Linked DNA regions of Ovis aries. The protein of the gene in region 3 binds, or shares a complex with, the protein of the main gene of each other region. Links are inferred from orthologs where the notes say so. Each region holds a gene or a part of one and is shown on either strand. Other genes may lie near its edges. The genes, in order: RBL1, LIN52, TFDP1, LIN54, MYBL2 and E2F5.

Evidence for each region.
Region 1: the proteins of TFDP1 (region 3) and RBL1 are in contact, whole or in part, in a crystal structure (PDB 5TUV), measured with the Homo sapiens proteins. The link is inferred for Ovis aries from reciprocal best matches to the Homo sapiens genes TFDP1 and RBL1. Residues at the interface, in NP_009042.1 of Homo sapiens: Pro260, Phe261, Ile262, Thr290, Phe291, Glu292, Ile293, His294, Asp295, Ile297, Glu298; in NP_002886.2 of Homo sapiens: Tyr1004, Phe1006, Asn1007, Ser1011, Leu1014, Ile1017, Asn1018, Ile1021.
Region 2: TFDP1 (region 3) and LIN52 share a complex: the UniProt entries of both Homo sapiens proteins name them as parts of the DREAM complex. The link is inferred for Ovis aries from reciprocal best matches to the Homo sapiens genes TFDP1 and LIN52.
Region 4: TFDP1 (region 3) and LIN54 share a complex: the UniProt entries of both Homo sapiens proteins name them as parts of the DREAM complex. The link is inferred for Ovis aries from reciprocal best matches to the Homo sapiens genes TFDP1 and LIN54.
Region 5: TFDP1 (region 3) and MYBL2 share a complex: the UniProt entries of both Homo sapiens proteins name them as parts of the DREAM complex. The link is inferred for Ovis aries from reciprocal best matches to the Homo sapiens genes TFDP1 and MYBL2.
Region 6: the proteins of TFDP1 (region 3) and E2F5 are in contact, whole or in part, in a crystal structure (PDB 5TUV), measured with the Homo sapiens proteins. The link is inferred for Ovis aries from reciprocal best matches to the Homo sapiens genes TFDP1 and E2F5. Residues at the interface, in NP_009042.1 of Homo sapiens: Glu201, Cys202, Leu205, Glu208, Arg209, Arg212, Leu213, Arg215, Ile216, Lys219, Gln220, Leu223, Leu226, Ile227, Gln230, Phe233, Leu236, Val237, Arg239, Asn240, Arg241, Arg249, Pro253, Ser255, Val256, Ile257, His258, Leu259, Pro260, Phe261; in NP_001942.2 of Homo sapiens: Val126, Arg129, Leu130, Lys134, Glu136, Ile137, Leu140, Glu141, Glu144, Leu147, Asp148, Gln150, Lys151, Leu154, Gln155, Ser157, Ile158, Val161, Met162, Ile166, Asn167, Asn168, Arg169, Phe170, Ser171, Tyr172, Val173, Thr174, His175, Asp177.

The regions. Positions count from the first base shown.
Region 1 is NC_056066.1:66,052,283-66,057,149, forward strand, and holds part of RBL1 (retinoblastoma-like protein 1), read right to left. Parts: intron 4,237-4,867; coding exon 4,103-4,236; intron 1-4,102. UniProt on the Homo sapiens protein: Key regulator of entry into cell division. Directly involved in heterochromatin formation by maintaining overall chromatin structure and, in particular, that of constitutive heterochromatin by stabilizing histone methylation.
Region 2 is NC_056060.1:83,523,061-83,528,629, reverse strand, and holds the start of LIN52 (protein lin-52 homolog), read right to left. Parts: upstream 3,755-5,569; 5' UTR 3,748-3,754; coding exon 3,717-3,747; intron 1-3,716. Other genes in the region: ALDH6A1 (methylmalonate-semialdehyde dehydrogenase [acylating], mitochondrial), read left to right, coding at 4,336-4,389.
Region 3 is NC_056063.1:86,069,061-86,073,324, reverse strand, and holds the end of TFDP1 (transcription factor Dp-1), read right to left. Parts: intron 3,833-4,264; coding exon 3,754-3,832; intron 2,196-3,753; coding exon 2,048-2,195; 3' UTR 1,097-2,047; downstream 1-1,096. UniProt on the Homo sapiens protein: Can stimulate E2F-dependent transcription.
Region 4 is NC_056059.1:98,538,075-98,543,573, forward strand, and holds the start of LIN54 (protein lin-54 homolog), read right to left. Parts: upstream 3,686-5,499; 5' UTR 3,676-3,685; coding exon 3,639-3,675; intron 1-3,638. Other genes in the region: COPS4 (COP9 signalosome complex subunit 4), read left to right, coding at 3,923-3,996. UniProt on the Homo sapiens protein: Component of the DREAM complex, a multiprotein complex that can both act as a transcription activator or repressor depending on the context. In G0 phase, the complex binds to more than 800 promoters and is required for repression of E2F target genes.
Region 5 is NC_056066.1:72,218,141-72,223,007, forward strand, and holds part of MYBL2 (myb-related protein B), read left to right. Parts: intron 1-1,006; coding exon 1,007-1,106; intron 1,107-2,472; coding exon 2,473-2,586; intron 2,587-3,848; coding exon 3,849-3,941; intron 3,942-4,862; coding exon 4,863-4,867. UniProt on the Homo sapiens protein: Transcription factor involved in the regulation of cell survival, proliferation, and differentiation. Transactivates the expression of the CLU gene.
Region 6 is NC_056062.1:90,368,854-90,373,720, reverse strand, and holds part of E2F5 (transcription factor E2F5), read left to right. Parts: intron 1-2,923; coding exon 2,924-3,033; intron 3,034-3,862; coding exon 3,863-4,026; intron 4,027-4,867.

The DNA.
Region 1 (4,867 bases), on a different chromosome or scaffold from region 3:
CGACACAGGCTTGATCCCTAATCTGGAAACATCCTTCATACTGCAGGGCAACTAAGCTCATGCACCACAGTTACTGAGCCTATGGTCTAGAGCATGGGAGCCACAGCTAATGAGCCCATGAACTCTAGAGCCCGTGCTCCACAACAAAAGCCACTGCAATGAGAAGCCCACATACCACAGTTAGAGGGTAGTCCCTGCTCATGCCAACTAGAGAAAGCTTGTGCAGCAATGAAGACCCAGCAGAACCATAAATAAATAAACAAGTAAGTAAAATCTTAAAAAAAATAGATAATAAGTTTTGACAAGATGTGGATAAATTGGAATCTTCATAGAATGACTAGTATAGTCATTTTGAAAAACAGCTTGATAGCTCCTCAAAAGGTTAACCAGAGTTACCACATGACACAACAATTCTTATATATACATCTAAGAGAAATGAGAAATACGTCCACATAAAAAGCTGTACACATTCATAGCAACATTATTCATAAGAGCCCAAAGTAGAAACAACTCAAATGTCCATCAACCAAAAAAGTAATAAAATGTTTATATCCATGCAATGGAAAATTATTCAGTCATAGAAAGGAATAAAATGCTGATATATGCTACAACATGGATGAACCTTAAAAACATTATGCTAAGTTAAAGAAGCCAATCACAAAGAAATATCATATATTGTATGATTCTGTTTATAGGAAATGTCCAGGAAAGGCAAAAAGACAGAAAGTGAATTAGTGGTTGCCAGAGGAAGGGGATTTAGTGGAGGTATAACATGTGAATGCTAATGAGTATGAGGTTTCTTTTTTGGGGTGATGAAAATGTTCTAAAATTGTAGTCAGTATGTGACTATATTAAAAACTGTTGAGCTATATACTTTAACTAGATATGTGGATTATATCTCAATAGGGCTGTTTAAAAAAAAATGCTACTCCAAAAAGGATACAGTGAAATGTGCTAGAAGTATTACTAATTACCTTTCTAAAGGTAACTTGGCAACATGAATATAAAGTCTTAAAAACACTCAATTTTTTCATCCAAAAATTGATTTTTATGAGAATCTAAGGAGAGAGTCAAAGATATAGGCAAAAATATTTATACAAAGATAGATATCATGCTATCCTATGACAGTTTTCTTTTTCTTTTAATAAGTAATGTACATATTTACAAAATTTCAAAGGTACTGAAGGATACATGATGGAAAGTATCTCTCCTTGTCCATCACCTCCCTCCCAGTTTTCTTCCACTAAAGCAACCAACTTTGCCTTAGTGACTAATTATACCTTCCCCATCCAGGGAGTGAACCTGGATCTCCTACACTGCAAGTAGATTCTTTACTGCTGAGGCAGAGAAAGTCACAATTATATTGTTACTAGTTTCTTATTTATCCTTGCAGAACTTTTTAGGGTATTTATGAATACATACCTACTTAAATACTTTTTCCGCACTCAAATGAAATCATACTACCTACAAGAGATATTCTATACTTCTCTTTTTCCCTGTCATTTTGGAGATCATTTCCTCTCAGCTCACATGAACGTCCTTCCATAATGTTAAGAGCTGGATTTTATTCCACTATATGGATGTGCCATAAATGCATCTGAACATTCCCTTTTATCCTTTAAACTTTTTACTTTGAAATAGCATCAAACTTACAGAAAAGTTGCAAGAATTGTATGTAAGAACTTCTTTATTCACCAATATTCACCAATTTTGCATTTTGCATATTTGCTTTGTCATCCACCTCTCTCTATGTTATTTATGTGTGTACAGAGCTTCCTCAATTTACAAATGGGGTTACAGGATATAACCTGTAACCCTACTGTAAGTTGAAAATATAAGCTGAAAATGCATTTAATATACCTAAACCTACTGAACATCACAACTTAGCCTAGCCTACCTTAAACATGCTCAGGTGCTTACATTAGCCTACAGTTGGGTAAAATTATCTAACACAAAGCCTATTTTATTAAAAAAAAAAAAAAAGTGTTGACTGTCTCACATAATTTAACAAATACTCTACTGAAAGTGAAAAACAGAATGGCTGTGAGACAGAATAGTTGTAAATCTATTGGCTGTTTACCCTCCTGACTGCATGGCTTACTGGGAGCTGTGACTCACCCTGCCAGCAAAAACCAAGTACAGAGAAAAGATGATAATATGGAACATATGTCCAAATAGTGGCACACTATCTAATTTTAAGGGTACTCAAAAGGCAAAAAGGAAAACTGCTTTGTAAAAAATGAATATCAATGTTTCTATTAAAATTATGGAAAGTAATTTTTCATTCAGGTTCTAATAAATATGAAAATAATAAGTGAATGAAAATAATCTTGATTTAAATCACAAGTTATTAAAAAACTTGTAAAAAAATAAGGAAAAATTACTTCTCACTACTTAATGAGACTCAGACAACTGCTTTATTAAGAATTTAAAATTCAAATTATAAAATAGATACTAATTTTTAACACTATTAAGAGCAGAACAAATATTTACACAAAACTTGTGGGTTTTTTTTGGCAGCACCTCATGCCTTACAGGATCTTAGTTCCCTGACCAGGGATTAAACCCAGGTCTTTTGTAGTGAGTGTATAGCCCTAACCACTGGACAGACAGGGAATTCCCACATGAAACTTTCTTTTTAAGTTGGAAATTGCTTAGGCTAATTTTTTTTGTAAACTGAAGCTGAATTAAAGATACAATTCAAAAGAAGACACACTAATGTATATTTGTTTACTGATAACATAAGTAACACAGCATGGACTTCAGAGGCTCTGCCACTTAGGTATATAACCACTAGATATAATTTAACCTCGTGGTGACTTGGCTTCCTCATCTTTAAAATGAGATTTATTTGATAGGATTACTGTGAGGATTAAATGAATAAAGATATGTAAACTATTAGCACATAATATCTGGCACACAGGTAAATATTCAATAAAAATCTTCTAGTTTTACAGGTATATGTATGAATCTATACTTCTTCAGCATTTTGCAGTATGATTTAGCAATATTTGCTGCATATTTTCCCAAATCTATAAAGATCTACATAGTCACTTAAAATTAGTGACTTCCCTGGTGGTCCAGTGGTGAAGAATCCACCTTCCAAATGCAGGGGACGGGTTTGATCCCTGGTTGGGGAACTAAGATCCCACATGCCATAAGGCAACTAAGCCCGCACACTGCAACTACTGAGGCCACATGCACTGGCCCCTGTGCTGCAACTAGAGAAGCCGATGAGCGGCAATAAGGACCCAGAATAGACGAAAAAAAGAAAAAAATTTTACTGCATCAAGTAATAACACTAGAATAGAGATGTTATAGAAAATTATTGTATCAAGATTTAATTTTGTTGACATGGATAACTGTACTATAGTTATTTAAGGAAACACACACTGAAATATTTAGGGGTATAGGGCTATAATGGATGCTACTTAAATTGAAGTAGTTGAGGAAAATACATTATTTAAGGGAAAAAGATTAAATGATAAAACAAATGGAGTAAAATGTCACTAAAAGGTGAGTCTAGGTCAAGGGTGTATGGATGATCTTTGTAATTTTCTTATTTTTGCAACTTTTCTGAAAGCTTCAAATTATTCTCAAAGTTAAAATATTAATGAAAAAAATCATAGATAAAGAGATTTAGTAACATTCTTGGCAGTCCAGAAGTTAAGACTCCATGCTTCCAATGCAGGGGGCACAAGTTCAATCCCTGATTGGGGAACAAAGATCCCACCTGCTGCATGGTGCAGCCAAAAAAAAAAAAAAAACCAAAAACAAAATCTCTGTGCCCGTAATGCCTGTGGTGATAGTTACTTAACTCTGTAAAAAATACCCCAAATCACTGAATTGTGCAAGTAAGTAAATTATATGACTTATAAATTGTAACTCAATTAAAAGAAAAGATTTAGAACAGGGGCCTTTGGTTGAAGTTAGAATTTGAGGAAGAAAGTCAGAGAAAGAATGTGAGAACTGGGGAAAAAATGTGAGAACTGTAAAAAAAAAACTTAGAATGGGATGAAGCTAAATGATTTAAAATGAAGAGAAATTAAATTCTAAAGTTAAATTCAGGATTTATAAAGTAATGTTTGAAAAAGTGCTTTACCTTAGTTTAGCTGAACGTAGTATTCTGGTAAGTGAAACGCAATTTCCTTCCATGATACCCTTGCCAACTGTGGGAATGATGCTTTTGCGGCAAGCAACATACAACGAACACGCCAACCAGTGTATAACTTCTCCCTGGCAGGCAAAAGATAAAACAGCAAAATGGATATATTTCGTTAGAACACTTGAATTCTAGACTCAAAAGAGACCTTAGGATTATCTGGTCTAATTTTCATACTGTATTAACAGGCGAGAGAGAAGTGAGGATATTTGCCCAAGGTCAGAAAGCTTAGTTGGTTGCAAAAATGGGTATAAAATTCCTTACTCTCAGTCCTGTGTAACATGGTGAATTGATATTACTCTAAATATAGATCTCTCATCTACACCCCAAATCTAATATTACTGAAAACGTTCTCAATTTCTCAGCATTAGCTTTTTCAATATTATAACACCAGTCATGGCCTTGATGATGTGGAAGTTCCTATCATTTTGTTTCTTTTTTAATCACTTTGGCAGAGAAAAGGAAAGAACAAAGTAGAACGATGGCAAAAGAATCACGCATATAAAAACTAATACCTATCGTGTTCAACATAAAGGAGATTGTCAGTTTTGTGAGGTAGAAATTGGGGGAATTATTTACCCTAATCTTTAACACAGTCTAAGTATGGCTCTCTATCTTAGCAGATATTTCAATTTACAATGCTACAAAAAAGGTGACATTTGAGAATTCAACACTAGACTTGAGCTACTGAAGCTAGATTCACTT
Region 2 (5,569 bases), on a different chromosome or scaffold from region 3:
CTAAACCACACTCTGAAATTTCATTAATTAAGCAAGAAACTATCGTTTCTCTCCTGTACCACTTCAATAGGCTCTTACCATCTCCCTGCTCCCATTCTTACCCCTCCCCATCCCTACTCTCAAACCTACTTTCCAAAAAAGTTAAATGTCAATCAGTTCAAGCCACTCTCCAGCTTAAAAGACTTCTTCCCAGCTAAATTCATGAATGCATATCTATTGTGACCTATAAAATTCTATATGACCCAGCCCCTGCCTAATTTTTTGACACCATTTCTTTTCCACTCTTGCCCTGGAACACAGAAGGTGTTTAATATTAACAACAACAGTTAACATTTGTTAAGTACATTACTTTGTGCTCAGTATACAAATTAGCTGCATAAATTAGCTAATTTAATGATATAAACAGTGGTTCCTAACATGTTCTGGGTAAGCCAAATTTTTGAAAATCTGAAAAAAAAAGCTATGAACCCAGAAAATGTACATATTTATAAAATCTTTCAACATGTCCTTTTTTCTAACCAAAATTTCCTCCCAATAGTCTAAGGAACTCCCAAGTTCACATCAGGATTATCTACAATAGCCAAGACATGGGAACAACCTAACTGTTCACTGATGGATAAAGTTTGAAAATACACACACACACACACACACACACACACACACAAATGGAATATTATTCAGCCATATATAAATGAGGAAATCCTGTCATTTGTGACAACCTATATGGACGCTGAAGGCATTATGATAAATGAAATAAAACAAATAAAATACAACCTCACTTATGAGTGCAATCTAAAATAAGCAAACAGGCAAACTCACAGAAAAAGAGATCATACTCATGGTTATGAGAAGTGGGGGTAACGAGGGGGGTAATTAGAGGAAAGTGGTCAAAAGGTACAAACTTTAGGTTACAAGGTAAGTAAGTATTAGGGGTGTAATGATGACTATAGCTAACACTGCTATATGACAGACAGGAAAGTTAAGAGTAAATCCTAAGTGTGTTCATCAAAAGGAGAAAAATTTTTGCCTTTATTCTTCTTTCCTTTTTACTGTACTGCTGTGAGAAGAGGGACGTTAGCTGAACCAATCTATTTACTCTAAGGAAATTTCCATTGGCATTCTAATTGGTAAAGAACTAAACTCTAAAAAACTGCCTTAACTAGATATGTGAAACACAAAATCCCAATTTTCAAACTTCCAAGGAATGCTACTTATGGAAAGTTCAAGCATAACAAAAATAAACTTATTGAGGGTACGATTCAATAACCAACAAGCATGACCTTATGATACCACAGTCTAGGGTATAATTTGACTCTACTGTGTTATTCTCATACATTAAGTAACAAATGACTTTAGATTTCAATTTTCTTCTTTTCAAGGAGGTCCCAGCAAATTAAGCATTGAAAAGAGAAAGAGTGGAAAGATCTAAACTTTTTTTCATAGCAAGATAATTTTAATTAAATCTTATAGACAGAAACAGGTGGAACTCTAAAAATAGAAGTGAGAGAGCTAGGCAGTAGTATATTTTAGGATAAGACATTTATTTAGATGCAAAATTTAAGTTCACAGTGCTCAACCTGTTTTTGTCAGATTAAAAAGATTAGAGGGAAAAGGATAAAGCTATGCAAAAGATGAGCATGAAAACTTTTAAAGTCAAGTGTGCAAATAGAGTGAGAGTGGACATGGTTAAAAGGCAAAAGGAAAAAAAAAAAATTTCCAATATTCTTCCTGGCCAAAGGAAGGAAAAGAAATTGAGAGAAGACAGGGAAAATCAAATATAAGGAACAAAAATATAAAGACAACTTAGTTATAAACTAAAAATTTTCATAGCCATTACTTCTATCACTTGGTTGATTTTTTTCCAACTGTGGTAAAATATACATAAAACATACCATCTTAGCCAGTATTAAGTGTACAGTTCAGGGGCATTAAGTACATTTACACCGCTTTGCAACCATCATCACCATCCATTGCTACAACTTTTTCATGTTCCCTATCTGAAAGTCTATACCCATTAAATAAATAACAACTCCACATTCCCTTGGCTAACTTTTTAAATGCTCTTTATTTTTTTCCTGGCCAAAAAAAAGAAAAAGACATTTCATTTTTAACAAGAGAGCACTCAGGCAGGATCAAGAATCTCTTTTGACTTTCAATACCCATAATTTCTTATACAGTATATGGTTGCTTGTCGTTGTTTAGTAGCTAAATCATGTCCAACTCTTTGCGACCCCATGGATGGTAGCCTGCCAGGCTCCTCTGTCCATGGGATCTCCCAGGCAAGAATACTGGAGCGTGTTGCCATCTCCTTCTCCAGGGGATCTTCCTGACTCAGGGACCCATGTCTCCTGCGTTGGCAGGCAGATTCTTTACTGCTGAGCCACCAGGGGAGCCCCATACAGTATGTACCCATGCTCAAAAACCTTAAAATATTATTTAAGCATATATCTAATCATTCTTTCAATAAACATGAATTGAAGACCTACTGCTTGCCAGTAGGCGAGGCACTGTGTTAAGCCCTGAGACCCAACTACCAATGAAACAGACTTGGAATTTTCAATCTGGACTGAAAGGGGCAAACTTGACATAATAAACTGTTCTGTCTATGAAGGTACTGAGAAAGTGAGTGGTGAAGAGGGGCAAGCTCAGCTCCTGTGCTCTGTGAAAGCCTCTCTGGGAGGTGACATTTAAATGAGACCTGAAACTGCCAAAGTGTTTACATGTTTGATTAATCTTCTTCTCTCCCAATGCACCTAGTAAAACGCCTTTCATAAAGCAGGATCTCAATATAGCTTTTCTGGCCACAAGTTCCTCATTCCTGAAATGAACTTTCAAGATTCCTTCCAAACACAAAAGGAGAGAAAACTACATATCAGTGAAATGGACGTGGAGATGGAATAGTCGAAGCAAAAACAGTTCAGAAATGACTGCAAAACTTTAATCCTAAAACAGAACGGAGAGCAAAAGCCTGGGAGTATACCAAAACCACTCAATTGCTATCTGAGATGAGTTGCATCTTCGACAACATATAAGCAGAAATCGTTCAATCACTCAGCCTTAAGAAACAATTCATAAAGCAGAAACAAGAGAGGTAGAGACGTGTACATGACTACGCTAAAAAGCTCAGTTCTATTTTCCTCGGGACTCTCACAGTTAGGGACCCGAGAGGGTCTCCTGCTTCTGTAGCTGCCAGGGCAACGGTCCCAATCTAAGGAGACGGGAGAGAATTACTTTTCTCTTGTGGTTCAATCCCAGGATGAGGTCAGCCACTAACCCTAGCTAGCGCTTAAGAGAATCAAAAAATCGTTCCAGATGCTCAAAGAGAAAAGAACTGACCTTTTTCAGTGAGGCGCCCGGAGGAGAAAGCTACACTAAGGCGCCTCCTTTCCTCATCAGTATCTCTTCCTCGGCCATCAGTCTCACCCAAATGAGGCTAAAGGAGGACAAGGGCGACCCTCGTCCTTTTGCCCAGAAAAGGTCCCTAGCGGGCGCCCTCCTCCATCTGCCTGGTACACTGAGAAGAAACCAGGCACCTCTGGAGCCGCTGTGAAGAACCGGCGAGCTTAAGAAGCAGCCACATCGCTTAGAAAAGAAGTGGAAGGGAAAGGATAGGAGCCCATGAAAGAAATGTAAATTCGAGTGGTAGATGGAAACGGAAGTTCCCAGGAGAGCGCAGAAGGATGTAGCAGGCGAAAGGTCTCTAAGCCGGTTCTTACCGTCCGTGGGAGACGCCATCTTCCAACCCATGTCACGTGACGTGGCCAACTGTCGGCGGGAAAGCTTGGATCCGTAAGCCACGCCCCCAAAGAGAAACCCTGCCCTCAAACCCGGGAGCCGGGTTCGTCTCCCCGCCCCTATAGGGACAATCTTTACATAGGCCCGCCCCCCGGTGCTAGCCACATCTCCCCTCGCGCAGTGGATGAGGCGGAGCTACTGCAAAAATTCTTGCATGAACTTATTTACTTCCCTCAGTGAGTGGGCGGGGCCGCGGTTGTGCCTTTGGCCAATCGCAGTTCCGGGTTCGGGGGCGTCTTCCTCCTGTGCTCGATATAGAACATCGCGAGTCGCTCCGTGCCTTCCCTACCCCTCCGCCAACAGAATTTGTTGAGGTAGCGCAGGGCGAGAACGCTATCACTTCTGACCAATCATATTCCCCCAGGGCTGGGACTGAGGGGCGGAGTCAGGCGTTAGGGCGAGTAATTGGCTAGGGGAGATTGTCCTTTCCGCCAGTGAGGAGGTGCGGCAGGATGGAGGGGCGAGGCCTGGCCGCAGTAGAGCTTCTGGACAGTCTCAGACCGTAGAGGTGCGGGGGCTGAGAAGAGGCAACCCAGAGCCATGGCGGTGGTGGCGGCGGCGGCGGCGGCGGCATTGCGGGCCCGAATCCTCCAGGCGAGTGAGGGTAGCGCCAAGGGGTTGCGAAGCTCGAAATTCGTCCTTTCCATCCGCTCTCTGAGCCATCCCCTTCATGGCTGACCCTTCTCTGTGCCCATCGGACCTGTGCGGCCCTGTCCCACACCTCACTCAGTACCCGCCTTCGTTGGATTCAGCCCTAGCCCTTTTATTCTTGAGCCTCCCCCCTTTTATGGCTCTGGCCCACTCTCCTCTTCGAGGCTTGCCCGATCCCTGCCGACACTCTCTTGCCCCACCTCTGTCGGTCTGCCCAACGTCTTCCCTTTCACCTCTGCACCAGCCACCTCTCTGCCCTAGAAACTCCCCTTCTGGTCACCTCTCTTAGCATTGGGCCGAGAACCTCCAAATTGTCCCCCTCCCCCACCCTTCTTCACGGTTTGCAATCCGAGGTAAAGGCCGGGGGGCGAGGGGCAGGAAGCACACGAGGGGCGAGGGTCAGTGAATGAACTTTGAATCCCCTTCTCGGAATGTTCACTCCGTTTTCCCAAAAGCAGTCATTTGCTGAGCTGTTTTCCCCAGCTACGGCTCTTTGCATGTTCCACAGGCTGTGGACTGTTGTGCCTTTGCTTGCCAAGACTTTGTTTAACTTTCTGGCAGAGTTACAGTGTTTTGTTGGCGTTGAATAAGGACACATAGTTAATGATCCCAGTTTGTTCCAGGCACGTGCAAAGAATTAAACATCTCTAAAATAGGTGATAGAAAATGGGAACCAAGGAAGACAAGAAGTGTAAGTTCCAAGTTCCCACCCCAGAGTCAGCTTGTGCTGTGCTGTGCTTAGTCGCTCAGCAGTGTTCCACTGTCCTATCCCATGGACTGTAGCCTGCCAGGCCCCTTTGTCCATGGGGATTTTCCAGGCAAGAATACTGGAGTGGGTTGCCATGCCCTCTTCCAGGGGATCTTCCCAATGCAGAGATCGAACCCAGGTCTGCCGCATTGCAGGTGGATTCTTTACCGTCTGAGCTAGCAGCGAAGCCCCAACTCAGCTCTGCCCCTGGGGTTGGAGTGGGGTGGGGGTGTTCAGGTCTTCTCTGAAGTTAGCCTAAGGACAAGTGGTTGAGCTACAGGAGCTACATGCCTGAGGCCTGTAGCTGTTTCCAGCTGTTCATAGCCTTTCCCCGTTGTTCAAGCCTAGCAAGGACTTATAATATTATGAGGCAAC
Region 3 (4,264 bases):
GCTCGTGACTTCAGGCAGCCTGAACAGAGCACTGGCCTTGCCCATCTTACCATCTCACTCTCTTTCTGAAAGTCAAAGCCTTAAGCTCTGTCTCAGCTCCTGTGATCAAGGAGGAAGTTGAGGACGGCTGGGCGGGCCACCTTACTGCAGGCCCATCACCTGCGAGGGCATCAGCCCCGTCCCTCCGCCCCAGCTTCCCCATGCTTCTGACCTTTTGGGGATGTGCCTGCAAAGGTCATGTTTCACGAGGATTCAAATGTTAAAGGTAGTGGTAATATTCATCTATCCTAGGTTGTGTCTCAGCTCAGTTCAGTCCAGACGCTCAGTCGTGTCCTACTCTCTGCGACCCCATGGACTGCAGCACACCAGGCCTCTTTCCATCACCAACTCATAGAGCTTACTCAAACCCATGTCCATTGAGTCGGTGATGCCATCCAGCCATCTCATCCTCTGTCGTCCCCTTCTCTTCCTGCCCCCAATCCCTCCCAGCATCGGGGTCTTTTCAAATGAGTCCGTTCTTCACATCAGGCGGCCAGAGTATTGGAGCTTCAGCTTCAGCATCAGTCCTTCCAGTCAATGTTCAGGACTGATTACATTTAGGTCACATCTTTTTTACGACCACATGGACTGCAGCCCACCAGGCTCCTCTGTCCATGGAATTCTCTAGGCAAAAACACTGGAGTGGGTTGCCATTTTATCCTCCAGGGGATCTTCCTGACCCATAGACAGAACCCATGTCTCCTGCATTGAAGGCGGATTCTTTACCACTGGGCCACCTGGGAGGCCCCAAGGTGATGAGTACAGTTCTTCCAAAAATAAGACAAGGAACAGACGCTCTCCCCACCACCAGCCACAGAGAGGAGGCACCACTTCGGCCATGTCCTAGGGACCACGTTCCTCACCCGCCCCCGGGGCAGTGCAGGAGAGGCTGGGGCCGTGGCGGGTCCTGCATCCACCGCAGGGCCCGCACCCCTTCCCTGCAGAGAAGGGCCTGGTGGGGGCAAACGAGCTCCAGAGAGCATCGCGAATCACAGGGACACGCAGCTTGTTTAAAATGCCCATGCGCACTTTATTAATAAAAACTAACAGTGCCAAGTTAAACAAGTCAAACAATTAAAGTCTCTTTATTCCACAAAATATTACAGAAAAGTTTATTTGTGTTCCAATAAAAAGACTATTATTTTAGAACAGGCAGCTAACAGCAACTGTGCCGTTAATGGTTCTTGGTGAATACATTTTAAAAGAGACTACTGCCTGTCCTGAAATTTCTTTTTTCTTTTTATAAAAAAAGAACTATTAAAAATGATTGACAAATTTTGAGTTAAAAAACTGTTAAAACATTCTCTATATTTAATTTCAACTTTATAATAGATTACAGGAAGATGCTTACGAAACAAATACAACATTTGTTTCAGTACATGTCTTAAGTGATAGACTTATAAGTATGTAAACAACTATATAATAAAAAGTCTCCAAACGCTGCCTGTAAGAAATCAGGCGAATCTTACCATAAGCAATAAACCCTCCAAGCCTCAGTTCCCACAGCTGCGCCAGCGTGGCAGTAAACAAAACAAACAGAAAACAAACAGGGGCCTTGCAATCCATCTGCTGCAACCCAGGGCAAACCCACAGTGTGAGCCCGATGGGGCCGCGCAGTCAATATAATTTAAGGGGACGAAGCCATAGTCACACGGCGAGACGCAGAGCCGGGCGCCGCCGGGCCCACGGTGCCCCCGGGCGCTGCGCTGGGCCCGGCGCTGCGCTGGGCCTGCCGGGCGGCGGGAAGGCAGCACAGCTTCTCCGGCAAACTCGGCAAACTCTGAGGGGGCGAGATGGACTCTGAACTTAAAGACAGCAAACGAAAACACAAAATCCGCAAGAGTAGAGGTCGTGCGTCGGTGTCAAACTCAGGCGGCTCGTCGGGACCCCCGGAGCACGGTGAGCGGCTCGTCAGAAGCGCCCTGAGCCCGGGGGTCGGCAAGCTCTTCTGGGAGGAGGGCGCGGAACGCAGGTCTCCCCCCGCGCGCTCCTGGCCGCGGGCGGCGGCTCAGTCTTCCTCCTCGTTCTCGTTGAAGTCCTCGTCATCCTCGTCGTCCTCGCCGACGCATGACACCGGCGTCTCCACCCGGGACCCGCTGTACTGCGACCCACTGGAGCTCGTGGCCAGCGCCCCGTCCGCGCCGTTGGCCAGGTCGCTGCAAGGACAGGGACGTCAGGGGCCACACAGCGGGCAGCACGGAACCCGCCTCTCCCAGGCTGAGCTCACCGTCACCCTGGCCCAGGACGACAGAGCGAGCGGCTTGAGCGGGCTCCTGTTTCTCAGCGCGCCAGGAACAGAAGCCCCGGCACACCAACCGAGACCCCGAGACCCTCCTCCAAACTCTGCCCGCCACGCCCTCCAGGGAGGAAAGGAGTGGGCCGTGTGAGGCACGTGTGTGCATTCACACACGTGCACACGGTTTTCCGACACTCTGCCTATTTCCCTTTTAGGAGAAAACCGCACGCAGGTGTCTTAATACCTTTTACTGGTGTTTACCGACACTGCCCAACAAAACCTAGGAGGTATCACGCTCTATGACAAAGTAACCCCGTATCTGGGAAACCCCCATCTAGCGACCACATCTGAAAGAGCGGAAAACAGGCTGAAGCTGCGGCTGCCTGCAGCCAGGAACCCCCCGAGTGCACGACCAGAGAGGGCGGCTCAGAACCGGGGCCCCAGTGTCAGCTTTCCTTCCGAAATGGTACCGGCTTTCATCTTGTTAAAAACACTGACAAGAGCCCGAAAGTTCATTAATAGAATTTCTTAAAGATGAAACTTTAGAAAATACCCAAATTCCACCTCCCGGAATAACCAGTGTTCAGATTTTACAGACTGGGCCACGCACAGTGGCAGATTCAGAATTTAAAACCAAACCAACCTCTGTCAAAACGCAACCAGGTGCAGGCACCCCGCGAGGGGCTGGGCGCTGGGACCCTCACAGGGAGCCTGCCCCTCCCTCGGGCGCACCGAGGCCGAGCTGGGGTCACGTGGAGGCCACACAGCACGGGGGCTGCCGAGCCTTCGAGGCAGGTGCACACAGGGTTTACTAGCCAACCCGGTTTTGTTGGACCTGCATGCTGCTGATTTCATGTGTTTGAGAAACAAGACATCCTTTACTGTTCAGAGTTGATATAGACACGTATGAGGCCCAACAGGAGACACCCAAGACCACTGTTCTGTCCATACTCACACGGAAATCACCTTATGCTTATCTTAAAAACCAGGAGGAACTCCGAGGCCTGACCCAGCCCTGCTCCGGGGGCCTGTGAGGTCACGGCTCAAACACACTTTGACTGAAATGATGAAAGTTCCTTCAACACGTAGAGCAATGCACGCAGTACACGGAAAAATAAGAAGGGGCAACGGGCACCACCACGTGTGCACTGCGACTTCAAGCGTTGAAAGAAAAGGGAAAAAACAGAGGGAGAAACAGCCTGACTGAGGCTGCCGGCCACGCAGTTCAGGCGGTTTTGCCGCCGCGGCACTGAATTACTTCAAAAGAAAATAAAATCCATGTACCCCTCCTGGTCTTTACAGGGAAACTCTCATCAGAACAAACAGCTTCTCTGCCCAGAGCACGAGCTCCGGACGACCCTGGGGCCCTGGTGTCCGCTGCGCAGGGAGCCCGGCTCCAAGCAGGACGGAGGCCGCTCACATGAGACCCCGGCTTCCCGCCGGGGAGGGTGGCCGCGCGGCTCTGGGGGCGCAGTTACCTGGCAGACAGCCGCGTGCCGTTAGACGTCGACACTGCCGACGCGACAAACACACCGCCGAGCGACCCCTGAGCCATTTCTGCAAAGAGGAAGAAAACGAGGCAAACGTCACGAAGCAGAGCCCACAGGGCGCTGAGACAGGGCCGATGGCTCCGGGCTGGGCACCCTCCGGAGAGGGGCGAAGACGGCACTGCAGGGCCGGGAAGGGACACGGCCTCCAGGAGACGGACGGGCCAAAGGGGGCCGGCTCCCGCGCCCCGCCTCCCGGCGGGACCCCGCCCCGCCTCCCGGACGCAACCCTCCCCTCCGCCCGGCCGGACCACCACGCCGACAGGTGGGCAGCAGGGGTCGGCGGGGCAGCCGCTGGCGTTGGGGGTCGGAGAGCAGGAGCTGCTTCACGGACGTCCTGCAGGGCTTGGGAGCCCCCAGGCCACCCAATGCGGGGCTCGTGAGGGAACCCACAACCAGGGGGGCACAGGGAGGCCTCTCCTCTCACCAGAGCGCCCCCCGC
Region 4 (5,499 bases), on a different chromosome or scaffold from region 3:
GGGAAACACAAGATAACTCTAGAACAATATTGATAATAGCATCAAGAACATATGGAACAGATTCAGAGTAGGAACTAGTGCTCAGAAAACAGCAGAACATATGCACTCACCTATTCTTTTTTTAAAATTATTATTATTACTTCTACAGCAAGGCATATTTGAGCTGGGCACACAAGACGCAGAGTGGAAGATGTGCCAGGAAAAGGACCCTAGGATAGCCTTCTTTGCATATCTGTAGGGAAACTGTAAGGAGGAAGAGACCATCTACTAAGAGCTGATTATGTGAAAACAGGAGATGTCTGACCAAGGAAATGGCCTTATTAAATAAGGGTTTAGTGAGAAGAGCTCTACTAGTAGTGACATCTGCTAAAGCAGTGCTACTCAAATTTAATGTGCAACGATTACTAGAGGAATTTTGTCAACATGACAGTTTTGACTCAGTTAAGTTGGGACTGGGACCCAAGGTTTGACCTAATTAAAAGAACTAAGATTTGTGCACTTCCCATAACTCAGAGATGCCCAGCTAGTTTCTTGTTAAGCAACTGAAATAAGGGAGGGAAAAATTCTCATTGCCACCCAATTGTTTTTCTCACTGCTATAACCAAACCTAAAACTATGTCGTATTCTCTTAGAATACTACATGCGTAATAGTTGAGCGTAATAGTTGAGCATGCGTAATAGTCTGGAAAGGGAGGCTTTGTCACATCAAAAAGTTTTAGTAAAACTGTTGCCTACAATAACTAGAAAGGCAGAGAACCTCCCTCACTAGCTTGTAGGTCTAGTGGAGATATTTTGAAAAGAGCTACTTTATGTATGTGGCTGCTGCTTTTATTTTTCAGCAAGGTATTACAAGAGTTTCCCAGGTGGCGCTAGTGGGAAAGAATCTGCCTGCCAGTTCCAGAGACACAAGAGATTCAAGTTCAATCACTGGGTTAGAAAGATCCCCTAGAGTAGTAAATGAAACCCCACTCCAGTATTTCTTGCCTGGAAAATTCCAGGGCAAGGAGGAGCCTGGAGAGCTACAGCCCATGGGGCCGCAAAGAGTCAGGGGTAACTGAGCAAGCAGGCATAAGGTACTACATGTAAAGTTTGAAGTCAGGGTAGATAGAGAACAGAATGTCTGGAAATTCTGGAGCTTCACTAAGTTGAAAAAGTTGACGACTTGTGTAACCCTAAATTACAGGAGAGAAAACTTGGCTTAGAGATTTCTCAGAGCCCAATGTGATTTTTTTTTTGGCAAACACACATAAACAAAAAACAACAGAAAGGAAAGATACACTGAAGCAAAAATCAAACTATTAACAGAGTTCTCTTCTCACTTAAGCTTATTCTTTCAGATGATTTCAAGGATATCATCATTAAGATGTTAAGAATGGGTTGCATATGGAAGTCAGGATATAGGGCAGATTTAATGACTACTTCTAAAAAAAACCTTTAGGAGCTCCCTTGGTGGCTCAGACATTAAAGAATTTGCCTACCATGCAAGAGACCTGGGTTCAGTCCCTGAGTCGGGAAGATCCCGTGGAGGAGGAAATGGCAACCCACTCTAGTATTCTTGCCTAGAGAATACCATGGACAGAGGAGCCCCGTGGGCTACAGTCCATGGGATCGCAAAGAGCTGGACATGACTGAGCAATTAACACCTCACTTCAAAAACGACTTTGAGTATGTTTATTGGCACCTGAAACTGTCTGTAAAGGAAGCAGAGTTTACTGAATATTCAATAAAGTTATGTTAAAAAAAATCCCACTGAAAAACCGGGACTACAAATGCCCTCAACTGTTCAAGTCCTAAAGCGTTCCTCTAGAGAGGGAATGGAGAAGGCAATGGCAACCCACTTCAGTACTCTTGCCTGGCAAATCCCTTGGACGGAGGAGCCTGGTGGGCTGCAGTCCATGGGGTCACTGGGAGTCGGACACGACTGAGCGACTTCACTTTCACTTTTCACTTTCATGCATTGGAGAAGGAAATGGCAACCCACTCCAGTGTTCTTGCCTGGAGAATCCCAGGGATGGGGGAGCCTGGTGGGCTGCCATCTCTGGGGTCACACAGAGTAGGACACGACTGAAGTAATTTAGCAGCAGCAGCAGCAGAGAGGGAATACCCTCCAACATCCAGTTAACTTGTATTTAGAAGGCAAAGCTGCTGCTGCTGCTAAGTTGCTTCAGTCGTGTCCAACTCTGTGCGACCCCATAGACGGCAGCCCACCAGGCTCCCCCGTCCCTGGGATTCTCCAGGCAAGAACACCGGAGTGGGTTGCCATTTCCTTCTCCAATGCATGAAAGTGAAAAGTGAAAGTGAAGTTGCTCAGTCGTGTCCGACTCTTAGAGACTGCTCGTGGACTGTTGCCTACCAGGCTCCTCCGTCCAGTGGATTTGCCAGGCAAGAGTACTGGAGTGGGGTGCCATTGCCTTCTCCGAGAAGGCAAAGCTGGGATCCACCAAATACAATGAACAATGCAATTATCCTCTCAAAATGCAGTACTAACCATGGTGTCTCACCACCATGCAGATATAACAACGGTAGTGGGTGTTCATAATTCCTGGGCAGGATTCTACCATTGCTGTGGACAAGTAACTACTGTGTTTCACACTCTTACTTTTCTGGAACTGTAGTTATCCTATTGCTTCTGTCCTTGCTCCTCTATTGTTTTGTATTACATGTTTGGGCCTGAGGCTGATAATTTCTTCTATAGTGTATATGTGTCTGGACCATGAACAATTACATCCAAACTTTTGGAGAGGGTTGTACATTATCAGACATCCTGGATTTTAAGCTGATACAGAAACTGAGTGGGAACTTGAACTCTCTTCTTTAGGGTTGAGTATCCTACTGTAGGAAGGATACACACAGATACTGTATTATGATCAGAGGGACAAACGGTAGTGGAGACTGCTGGTTGACGCTCCAAAACCATCCTTTCCTTTGTCCTAGGCAAAAGGAAACTAAATATCCAGACTCAGAGTTACCAGGCATGGAGATCTCACTAAGTTTTTAACTATGGAGGGACATCTGAACTGATAGTGAAGGACAGGAAAGCCTGGCTTGCTGCAGTCCATGGGGTCACAAAGTTTTGGACACGACTGAGAGACGGAACAACGACAACAAATTGCCACAGTACTTTCTCAAAGGATTTCTTTGTTCTGGACTTTTCTTTCCCCTTCCCCAAATAAGGAACATGTTCTTTTTCACATATAAAATGGCAGAAATTCAAGTTTAACATCCTTTGTAGGCAAGGCTGCAGAAATTTGCACTCCTATATAAATACATAAATACAATTACGTATCAAAGTAAGGCTATAATATAATTTGTCATCTAAATGGAACAGTTTCCAGAGTGAAAGGGCATGTTATTAACAATTACTCCAGGACGACAGATGGAAAATGGCACTGTCCTGGATAAACTGAGATGTATGATCAATCTATATACAGACGCAGAGTAGGAACGGAATGGGGACATTTTTTATTGTACTTTACAAAAGTACCGGTCTGTAGTGAATTGTAAACAAACAAACAAAAAACCTCGTTCTTTACCACGGGTAGTTTAAGTGCAGCCTTAAAGAACAAGGGATGGTAAACTACATATATGAGATACGGAACTTGACGAAAACCCCGAAGTTTTGCGAATCGGGCACTTACTGGGGTTGCACAAGCGACACAGTCCCTTGGAGTTCATCCGCCAATCCGAAGTGGGAGCGCGTGAGCCCGAGCCTGTAAGAGAAGCCCGGGCGGGCCTAGGATTTGAGGAGTGGAGCTTCGCGTCAATCAACCTTGGGGGCGGACCTAACGCAGGCTCGGCGGTCTGGCCTACACAGGCGCTACTCTGTGGCATCTCGGGTTCCCTCTAGCCGCACTCTGGAGGACTACACTCGGTTTCTTTCGGCCGCGAGAGGCCCCGCAGCCTCCGCCGAGCTGGGAGAAAGATGGCGGCAGCCGTGCGACAGGATTTGGCCCAGCTCATGAATTCGAGCGGCTCTCATAAAGATCTGGCGGGCAAGTGAGTATTTCCCGGGAGCCTGGGAGGTGGAGAGGCAAGCCAGAGACTTGTTCTCCTTGGATTGACGGCGGCTTTCGGATGTGAAGCTAGGAGCGGGCCTGAAGATGAAGGGGGCGGGCCTGAGGTCGGTCGTGGAGGCAGATGTTGGGAGCAGCAGAAAACTGGAGGGGACCTTGTGCAGGGAGCGCTCAGGACCATAGATCTGGAGTGGCTGTCAACTTTTTCAGCCCTTGATGGCATCCTTTCCGTTCTCTAAAGATTCTGGAAGCGCGGTCTGTGGGACGACTGCGCCCATGGCCTTCTAAACCTACCCTGGCGCCCCTTCCCTTCGCTGGCCGGCCTCTCACACCGAATTCTGGCCTCTGTTTGCCTTTGCTGCGCCCGTTTTTTCTCTTTGACTGAGGGCCATTTGTATTCTGGAACCTTGGTTTAGAGTTTTCCGCGGAGATGGCTTCTTGAGGCTGACGGGGGCTGCTCAGGTATGGCCGCTATCATGACGTCCAGAACTACTTGAACCATCTTCTGTGGGTTGTGTTTTGGGTACTCTCTCTCCCTGCCACCAACTCTGAAGGAGGGCATGGAGGAATGTCACCACAACGTGGGTCAGGATGTCTAGAGTAGTGATGTTTGCAGAATTTTAAACATGATTAGAAATTTTGTCGGAATTTATGTAGAAGGGTTAAGTCCACGCCAACTTAAATTTGTGATTTGTGCCTGCCCTGCAGACAGTTATTCAACAGTGTTAATTACATCTAGATAGACAGGGAGATAGATAGATGTCTGTTTCCTCTTTGTAGATTTCACAGCACTAAATTTTTTTTTGGTAATTAACATGCATTCTGTTTCAAGTGTGCTTCTCAAATTGATCCTATTTACATTTGACAGCTAAGATCAGGTTGATCCATTTTAACTGGCTACACCTGTTTTAACCTGGCCATTGAAACATTGACTTTGTTTTATGTAGGCTGTAATGTATTTTGTCTGCTAGTAAATGTAATCCAGTATATCATTGGGAAATTTAGCAGTGCTATTGGGCTTAACTACTTTGTGGGGCAATTTCCCTCTCAGGAAGATGGGATAATTATAAGATAATTATTCTGTCTGAGGACAAAATAGAGTGTGTATATGCACCTAGAACAGTACCTGACACTTAGAGCCACAGGATTGTCCTCCTTATTATTATTAAGAAGCTGGTAAGTACGTATTGACTTAATCCCTGGGTTGGAAATAAATTGAATATGTCTCACTGCTCAATTCTTTTTGCATGTAATTTTGATAGATTTGGATGAAAGTAAAACTCACATTTTTTTTTCCATGTTTGCTTTCCTTTTTGTTTTGTTAAAAAAAAGATAAGTGTGTTAGTTATCAGAAGAGATATAGTTTTCACGTATTTGCAGAATTCTGAAACTTAAGCTAAGCATTTACTTCCTCAGCTCTGAATTGCAGATAAACGATAGTATCTGCCTTATTGGGTGCGTCAGTTATTTACTGCTCTGTAACAAA
Region 5 (4,867 bases), on a different chromosome or scaffold from region 3:
GACCACCAGGGAATTCCTCTTTTTTCTTTTTTTAATTTGATGGTTTTCTAAATTCAGAGATTAGAAATGTGGAGAGTCCACCTTGCCACGAAAAATGTAATGTTTGCGTCATTTCTGTAAGTTCCGAGTGCAGATCCACTGTGCTTGAGCATCTCTACGGGAAGGACACAAGGCCCCCCAGTTCTCTCCATTTTCTGGTGCTCAGGAGGGACGGCTGTGTTCCACCTTCAGGCCTGTACAGGTGGCTTACCTGCTTCTGTGGAGGTGCTTTCACAATAAGTTTTCTTCCTTGTATCATCATGACCCTTGAATTCCAGGTAGAGTTGCTTAACTGCTCTTCGGCTCGTTACATTTGCTGGGTGGGGGAGAAGCATTGCTATTTATATTTCAGGAGTCAAGCTGTAGATCAGGGATCCACTCAGGAATTTTAGTTCTCATAATGATAGGTGATTTCAGATAAGCTGTATGGATCCCTTGGTCAGAAATCTGTCTTTCAACAAGTGATCTAAAATTTAACATAGACGGGTTTCTTGAGAAACGATTCTCCTGTCAAGTCACTAAGCTCTTAAACAGACAGCTGGCACCACAAAAGGAGTAGCTGCTGCTTCTCCGGAGAGACGGGGAGGGGTGTGGTCTTTCTTGGTCCTCCTCGCCTGCCTCTCCTGCTGGGGTTGCAGTCTGGCCACAGGCCACCTTGTTTTATGGAAAATCCTAGTGACGGCAACATCTTAGCCATTCTTCCATCCATTCGGGTCTCCTGGACTCCCTCAGGCTCTTCCTATTCTTTGCTGTTTTTGAGGACGGCCCTTCCTCTCTGTCCCCGGAACTCCCCTTGCAGATGGGGAGGTGGGTGGGTGGGCGGGCAGATGGGATGGGAAGAGACCACGTCTGGGGGCTGCCTTTCTGCCGCTGAGGCCAAAGGTCAGTTGGGGGTGTGGGAGTCAGGAGCAGCCCACAGCCGAGCCCCCCAGTGCCATCGCCCAGCCTCCTTCTCCGTGCCTGGCAGGTTTGTAACCCCAGATCAGAAGTACTCCATGGACAACACTCCCCACACGCCGACCCCGTTCAAGAACGCCCTTGAGAAGTACGGACCACTAAAGCCCCTGGTAGGTGGTTCGGCCAGTCCTCCAGCCGTTTATGATCACTCGCCCTGTCCTGAGATCCCATTAGCATCTCCCGACTGCCTTGAGAAGTTGCGATTCCTTAGTTTGATAAACAGGGCCCCGTGTTAAAATGAGTTACCAGCTCTCCAGATGTCTCCAGAGCAACCACCATGCAGGCGGTCCTGGCTGGTGCTGGAGCTACAGCGGCATCCCAGTGGACCTGGGGGTGGTGGAGGCCGACGTCCGAAGTGACCGAATACTCAGCTCGTGGCTGTGCCGGGCAGAACGTGGGCAGGCTTTGGGATGGAGAAGGACGTACGTGGGTGCTGCGAGCTGGCTGAGGAAAGCGGTGAATTGCTTGTCAAACCCAAGGCTGTTGACCAGCTGCCTGTCAGTGGGCTGGAAGCAGCTGGGCAGTGTGCAGACATCTCCTGGGTTGCTTTCCCCGCAGTGTGAGGACGGCCCTTCTCCCCCAGCTCCTAGTTCATGAGATGGTCCTGCTTTACCCCAGGGCAAAAGAGAGGGCTGGCGCCCCGGGTTTTCTGAAGCAGGTCGTTTCTGAGAACCCAGCCGCAGGTGGGAGAAAGGCGGGTCACGGAGAAGAATCCCTGCAGTGACCTCCCCTCCCAGCTCACCACGTGGGGCGCAGGTGGGGCTGTGGTCTCCCCGTCCTGGCTTGGAGCTGGCGGAGTTGCCCTGGGCCAGCCACAGTCAGTCCGGCCCTTTCCTGACTTGGACTCAGCTGCCAGATACTGAAATGTCTGTGTGCTCTCGGGACACATCCAAGAGGGCAAGTCCGACCTTGGCAGCGATAATTCAAGTACACGGGGGCTTTTAGAGTGACTTCTCCGGTTTCACTGTGCCCTACATCCCCTGGCCTCTGCCACCTGAGCGCCCAGGCCCAAGAAAGGGATGTGGAACCAACACCTCTGTTAGCATGGGGCCAAGGCAGGGAAGAGTTGGACTCTGAGTGCGTCCGGGTCCTCTGTTGGTGTGGGGCCGAGGCGGGGAGGAGCTGGGCTCTGAGTGTGTCCAGGCTCTGAGCTCACAGCTGTGTGGCCCTGGGCTGTGCTCTCAGCCTCTGTCTACCCAGCGGAGGATGCCAGCTGGTTCCTTGGCCTGGATGAGGGTGGCTGTGATGAACTGGAGTGCTCCCAGCCCTCAGGGAGCTGAGGCCAGTGTCCCAGGCAGGACGGTTAATGGCCATGGACACTGTGTGTGAGGCCAGCATCCCGGCTCCAGGCTGCCTCCGGCATCACCCAGGGCAGCGGAGGTGCGGCCGGGTCTGCCCTGCCGCCCCCATGAGCAGGCTCAGCGCGAGTCCTCTGGCCTGGGGGCAGAGCCTCACCCTGGTCATCCCCGCCCACAGCCCCAGACGCCCCACCTGGAGGAGGACTTGAAGGAGGTGCTACGCTCTGAGGCCGGCATCGAGCTCATCATCGAGGATGAAGTGAGGCCCGAGAAGCAGAAGAGGAAGGCCGGGGTAAGTGGCTGGCCGGGCAGGGGGCAGCTGGGGAATGCACCGGGGGTGGCGGGGCAGGGGGACAGGGGGGCGGCCGGGGAACAGGCAGCAGAGCAGGGGGCGGCTGGGGAACAGGCACGGGGGCGGGGGGCGGCCGTCCATTCCTACAGCCTGGGGGTCCATGAAACTGGCCGGCGCAGCTGCCTGCCATCCTTCCTTCTCCCCTTGAACTGGTGCCTCAGTTATTCCGCGTTGTTTGGACCCTCCTGAAGTGGGCTCTGGGCCAGGCGGGGTGGGTAGAGCAGTGATTAAGACCCAGAGGGGGTCGCTTCTGGAGTTCAGTGGGCAGAAATGGCAAACACCCCCAGTGACTCAGCAGCATTCGGGGACAGAAAAGGCCCAAAGAGGATTTCAGGGGGCATCCTTCAGACGAGCCGCCAGCCGGCTGTCGGCGCAGAGTGAGGAGGTGGGGCCAGCCAGTTCAGGTGAGGTGGGAGCGGGTGGGGACACTGCTCCGGATGGCGGGGTGCAGAGGCCGGGCCACGCTGGACAGACCTGTCCCGCCCCCGGCCCACGTGGTTTCCTGACCGCAGGCGGCTCTGTGTCTCCTGTTTTGAAGCCCCTTTGTTCCCAGGGCTCTCCTCTAGGGAGAAGGGAAGGCGGGAGTGGGCCAGAGTGGTGGGTGGCCAGGCGGGGAGGGGACCCTCCAGCTGGGCCCCCTGGTGTGTGGGCAGCTGTGTCTGCAGGTGGTTCCCAGCAGGGGTAGCAGCTGTTGGGGGCACAGGGCTGAGTTCGGGGACAGTTGTCAGTCTCAGAGGCCCTCCCTGGGGTCAGAGCTGCCCCTGATCTGCTTATAGGAGGCGCGGGGCTTGGGGGCTGGGCATTCCCATAACAGCCTGTGTCCCACGGGGTTATGTGTCTCTGTGTAGCACCCCGGCTGGTGGGTGTTCTAGTGGTAACTTGGCTGTGTGGGTGTTTAGTGTGGTAGAGACTTGGGCTGCGCTTGGTCCCCTTGGGGATGAGGTTGGGTGGAGGTGGCCTTGGTGTCCTCCATACCTGGTGAGCATCTGGCAGGACAGGCTGCCCTGTGGACAGAGTCTACGATGGGGCCAGTGTCCTGGGCCCCCACGGCTCCCCCAGAAGACCCTCTCCAGCCGGGCCTGCTGCAGGGCTCTCCCTGCACCAGGGCCTGGTTTCTGGACCAGGGCAGCCGGGACCAGTGTCATCAGGCACTGAGGGTGATGGGAATTCAGGCGTGTGCCCTAACCACCACCTCTCCCCAGATGCGGCGAAGCCCCATTAAGAAAGTCCGCAAGTCCCTGGCTCTCGACATCGTGGATGAGGACGTGAAGCTGATGATGTCCACGCTGCCCAAGGTTGGTCAGGGGTCTGGGAGAGAAGCCGTCCTGTGAGGCCACTCCCTACTCCCCACCCAGCTGCAGGAGGCTGAGAGTATGGAGTCCCCTTGGGGGGCCTGGGCCTCTGGAGCCCTTCAGCCTGGAGAGCCCTGGGGGTGGAGTCGGTGGGGCTTCCCTGTGCCGGGCTCAGCGGGGAGGAAGGGGGCAGGTGGCACTGGGCATTCCCCACTGGTCGACCCAGGCGGCCTTGCTCTGGTCCTTACAGAAGGCTCGGTCGGCAAGCACTGATGGCGAGCACTTGTTGGGCGTGTGTGTTTTCTGAGTCCCCAGCGCCTTCCCTTCTATTGCACTGCTAGGGAGGACCCGGAGATGATCAGTGAGGTGCCTTGGGGCCCTGCCAGGTGATCGAGGCACCTCTCCCCTGGCATGGATGCCGCCCTATTCCCAGGCCAACCTCCAGAGGGGGCTACTGCTTCCACAGAGCCTGGGCCCCAGAAACCATGCCGGGCAGTCGATCCCTTGCAGCAGGCAGTGAGGTGAGCTTGTATCTCACTGGTGGCCGGTGAGGGCTGTGGAAAGGCCACGAGACAGATGACTGCCTGGCAGCTCCTACAGGTCCGCCTGCCACTCAAACTCCTGGCAGAGAAAGCTCCATCTAATGAGGCATCCACGCCAGGCGGGAACTTTGTGCACTCCAGACAGACCCTTGGGGAGTGAAATAACTAGTGGAAAGAAAAAAAGTCAGGTCAGGTGGTTAAATGCAGAGGAGGTGGAGTGGAGGGCCTGGTCTCTGGCGTCTCTTGAGCTGCCTGTGCCTCAGGTTCTTGCCTGTAACAAGGATGCTGAGCCCAGCAGGCTGCTTCAAGGGTAAAGGCCTGTCTGGGAGGCTGCCCAGGCCTGTGGCAAAATGCTGAGCCTCTGACTTGGTTTTGCTTTCAGCCGAC
Region 6 (4,867 bases), on a different chromosome or scaffold from region 3:
GGATTATCCCCGCTGCCTCCTCAGTGGTTTCCTTGCTTCCACCCAGAGCAGCCCCAGGGAACCTTTTAAAACCTTGAGCCAAGTTCCCGAGCGCTCAGAGCTTTCCAGTGGCTTTCTGTCTCGGAGGGGGGGGAAAGCCGGTCTTCACAATGGCTGCTGCCTTTTCTTCTTGCCATCTCTGTCTCTTTCTCCCGCCTCCTCCCTCCCCGCCTCCCGCTCCCCCCCAACTATTCCTCCTGTGCTCCCCCGCATCTCTTCCAGGTGTTCCCGGGGTCACTGTCTTCAGTTCAGACTCACTTTATCAGGGAGCCCTTCTCTGAAAAGTTTGTCAAATACAGTACCGGCCTAAATGCGTTCCTCCTAAGAGAACACCTACGTTAATACACTAGTCACTGCCTCCCTCTTTTGAGGACAGGGGCATTGTTCTGTCACCACTGTATCCTCAAGACCCAGAACAAGCCTGGCACCCCGTGGGAGCTGAAGAAATGAATGAAGTTGGAGATGACTCATGGTATGGGTTTATGAATACAGAGGTCTTGGATTACTTAATAAAATCAAGAATTTAATGCAACTTTTTAAAACCCTATGTGAAAAATATGATAGGTCCATATCCATGCCAACTCTAACCCTTGATCCCTTGTTTCAACCTGTATTTGATGATGAGGCTGTTAGCAACATTTAAGTATAAATTACCTAGAGGACAGTATGCTAAGATTATCCTGCATAGCCCCCACAATTCAGCATGTTATTATCCCATTTTATGAAAAGGAAATGAGGTTTAAAGAGCCTGAAGCCAGTTGAAGACAGGAAGTGGCAGGGCTGGGCTGCATCTGGAGCTGGTGTGCCCAGCTCCAGAACCAGACTTCAGGTGATGCAGCTGCTAAAATAAAAGCCTCCTGGAGATCCTCTTTAAGTTTGGTCATTTGTATGTTTATATGCTTTAATAGCTTTTTAAGAAATGATACTTCGTTTTGGGAATCAGGGATTTGATTTTGTAATTGTTCAGTCACTCAGTCGTGTCTGACTCCTTGTGACCCCATGGACTGCAGCACGCCAGGCTTCCTTGTCCATTACCAACTCCCAGAGTTGTTAATTGTTAAGCAGTGATAAATAATAATGGAGAAGGAAATGGCAACCCACTCCAGTCTTCTTGCCTAGGAAATCCCATGGACAGAGGAGCCTTGCAGGGTATAGTCCATGGGGTCACAAAGAGTTGGACATGACTTAGTGCCTGAACAACAACAAATAAACTGTAAATGAGATAACTTTTTACAAATTTTGAACTAAACTTGAGATCTCATGGCTCTTTGCCTAGTGACCTAGAATAGCTCTGTGACCTGGTTCATGCCTGGTGAGCTGTTGCTAAGGTTGTAATGGCTTTGGTGTGTGAGTCCATAGCTACGGATGACGCAGAACTGGGAGTGCTCTGGCTACTTCTCAAGAGGGAAATGAGACATGAATTCACAACTTAAGATTCTTATAGTTAGCTTTGCGGCAGACGATTACTCTTGAGAAAGACAGCCTCGCACTCAGAACAGAAACTCTGCTGGTAGATGAGACAGGGAGGGAACCGCCGAGTACAGTGAAGAGGGTATAGGTGAAACTGGGGCGAGCCCTCTTCGTTTTCTCGTCTTCTAGAAGAGATGAGCCACTTAGTCAGAGCTGGGGATTCAAACAGCCTCATGCTCTGCTTCTTCCTTCTTTCCCTCTGCCACATCCAGTCACCCTTCTGGTCTGCTCTCTGAGGCACGAATCCCCTGCTGAAGACCTCAGAGGTTGGCAGCAGGCACTTGGTGTTTCTGGTGATACAACCACCAGATCTCACTTAGAGGTTCCAGATGCCTGCAGAGTGAGCCGTTGTTGGTCACACTTGCTCCCTGTGGAAGGAAACAAAATGCTGCCCTGGTTTTTGTAGGAGGAACTTTATAGAATGAAGCAGTTAGTGACGCCCTGGGGTAGCCAGTAACTAATCATCTGAGACTAAATTCTGTAGATAATGTACTGAATATTGTCAGTAAGGATATACATGTATTTTTTTGTTACTACCGTGAATCTTAAATGTGACTCCGCATTCAAAATAGTCTACTGAATCTACTCTGAAAAAAGAGCCTTCAGGTAACCTCTTCTCTGAGGTTCTGTTTATACTGCTGGGGAACAAATGTCAGAAATGTGAGTGAGAACTAATTAGAGGCACTATAACAGCATTCCTCAATTCATTCGTGACATGGTAGCATGAAATATTTTTGTTGGTCTTACCTAATGTAAGTGACACTACAAAGCTTTTGTATTTGCTAGTACCACAACCTTATGCAATAGGTTTTTATTTCTTGTCAATTTTATGCTTTGTTTTGGGATGGCATGATTCATTCCTCTATTTTTATTGAATTTAGAAAATGCAGATTGTGTATTTCAAGGTATTATACAATGTGTGTATAATTTAGAATTTTCTCCCAAGTATCTTGACTTCATTATTTAAAAATCGCTGAGATATAATTTTTCAGTTTCAAAAAAAAAAAAAGGTAACTTAGCTGTCTTTAAACAAGACTGTGTTTATGAACAGAGAAATAAGATAGGAAGTGACAGGGGCAGACAATTAGCAGCGCCTCTTAAGGATTAGCCCATAAGGTGATATGAAGTATTCTCATTGTGTTCTTTTATTTTTGTGGGCTTTGTGGCATGACCTTTTCATTTTTTTCCTCCGTTCCAACATCTGCTGGCTTTTAAATTGAATCATTTCTTTGGTATTTTCAGTGTTTGAGGGTTGCTTTGCACATACCCTGCTATTGTTCCCAAGCCACTGACCGGGTCAAATTTAAGACTGGGCTCTCATGCTGTGACCTTAATAACTAAAGCCTTTTGGGCCTGAAAATATGAATGGTAATTTATTTCTTTGTTCACCTCCCCACCCCCTTTTTTTAAACAGGCTGCAGATACTTTGGCTGTGAGGCAAAAAAGAAGAATTTATGATATCACCAATGTCTTGGAAGGAATTGACTTAATTGAAAAAAAGTCAAAAAACAGTATACAATGGAAGTAAGTTACAGACTGCTCTAGTCTACCTTTTTCTTCTCAGTGCTCTGTGAACGCTGACCTTTCTGCTGTGTATGTCTCCTGAGTCCTCTGTCCCAGCCGTCTACACCGGTCACACGGCCCCTCGCGTGTCCCTGGCACGCCTCTGGGCTTCTGTCGTCCTCCTGTGTGACATGGGATGGCCCGTGGCTCACTCCGCTGTTTAATTCGCACTCTCAAAGTTCAAGTCTTCCTCCAGCTGCTCACTTGGTACACACTGCATCCTGCTCTGTATCATTGATCCTTCTTTACCTGGTTGTTCTATGTACTCACCTAATATAAACTCCTTGAAAACAGGAACTAAGTCTCATACATACAAGAATATGTACTTTGTAAATAATGATTAGTTGAAATGCATGTTGTCATTTGTTAACTGTTGTATGTTTGACTGTAACAAACATGTTCTTTTCCACAAATTTGCCCCCCTTATCCTTCACGTTTCAGTTTATTTTAGCCAAAAATCCCAACAAAATACTAAAAGATGATAATCTGTTTCACCCGCATCTCAGTCCATGTAATGAGACTACCAGTGCGACCACTCGACTCCAGCATCCTGTGGTGCCTCAGTCACCAGTCACCCTTCTAGATGACAAAGAGCACACTAGGACAGATTGAGAATTTTGTAATTTGGGTGTTTAAGTTTTCTAAAGATTTTAATGGTTAATGGTTTTAGAAGAGTGTAAAGATTTTTGTTTTAAATATATGCAGTGAGTTTTACAATTTTTACTATAAAAATTAAGTGATGTTAACCTGGGTCTAATACTGGGGATATTAATTTTCATGTGTTTTTAAGAGGTGTAGGTGCTGGCTGTAACACTAAAGAAGTCATAGATAGATTAAGATATCTCAAAGCCGAAATTGAAGATCTAGAACTGAAGGAGAGAGAACTTGATCAGCAGAAGTTGTGGCTGCAGCAAAGCATCAAAAATGTGATGGACGACTCCATTAATAATAGATATCCTTTTAAATAGAAGTCCTTTTACATCTTTAAATACATAGATATATATTTATATATTCTTTCAGTCTGAACATCAGTTACTTTATTCTAGTGTTTTCAGAGACTTCAGTTCTGCAAGGGATAATAACATTTTAATTTTGTAACATTCTTCTAATAATTTATATGAATATTTTTAAATTTTTACTTTTGTAAGTCATATAGTACATCTCTTAGCAAGCTGATGTGTCTGTTGCAAGTTCCCCTATCTTTGGTCTACCCATTGGCAGGATACAGTACGCTAGCTAGTGTGTGCTTACAGGGAGTCTGCGAATTTGGAGGGCGTTGTTAAATCATTGTTCTGAAGCTAAATCATTCAGTGTTTCAAAGTGGTTAAAAGTTCAGCAACTCTTCAAAGTTTTTTAAAAAATTAATTTTGGTTTGAAAATGAAATATCACACAGGCCTGCAATCAGTCCAGGATACATTCTGCCTCATATTAACCCAAAGATAGTACTTTAGTAGAGCGTAGGGTCCCAAAGCTGGTATATCTACCATATTTGGGGAAAAACATTAGTGATGTACTCCATGTGTCCCTTATGACCACTGAGTTCTTTCAGATATGTGACTGTTGATTTGTGACTTACCCGTACTCATATGGAACATTTTAACTACATTTATCTTGTACCACCTCTCATGAACTTTTGACTGTGTATATAATTTATTTTTCACGTTGTCTTGTCTTTGGTGAAAAAGTCCATGATGTCATTTGTTATTTCCTTTCTAGAATCAGAACTCCTTAACAGTTTGATAATAATGGGGGTTTTCAGCTGTGCCTTGTGGAGCCCCGAGATTCCAAAAAGCA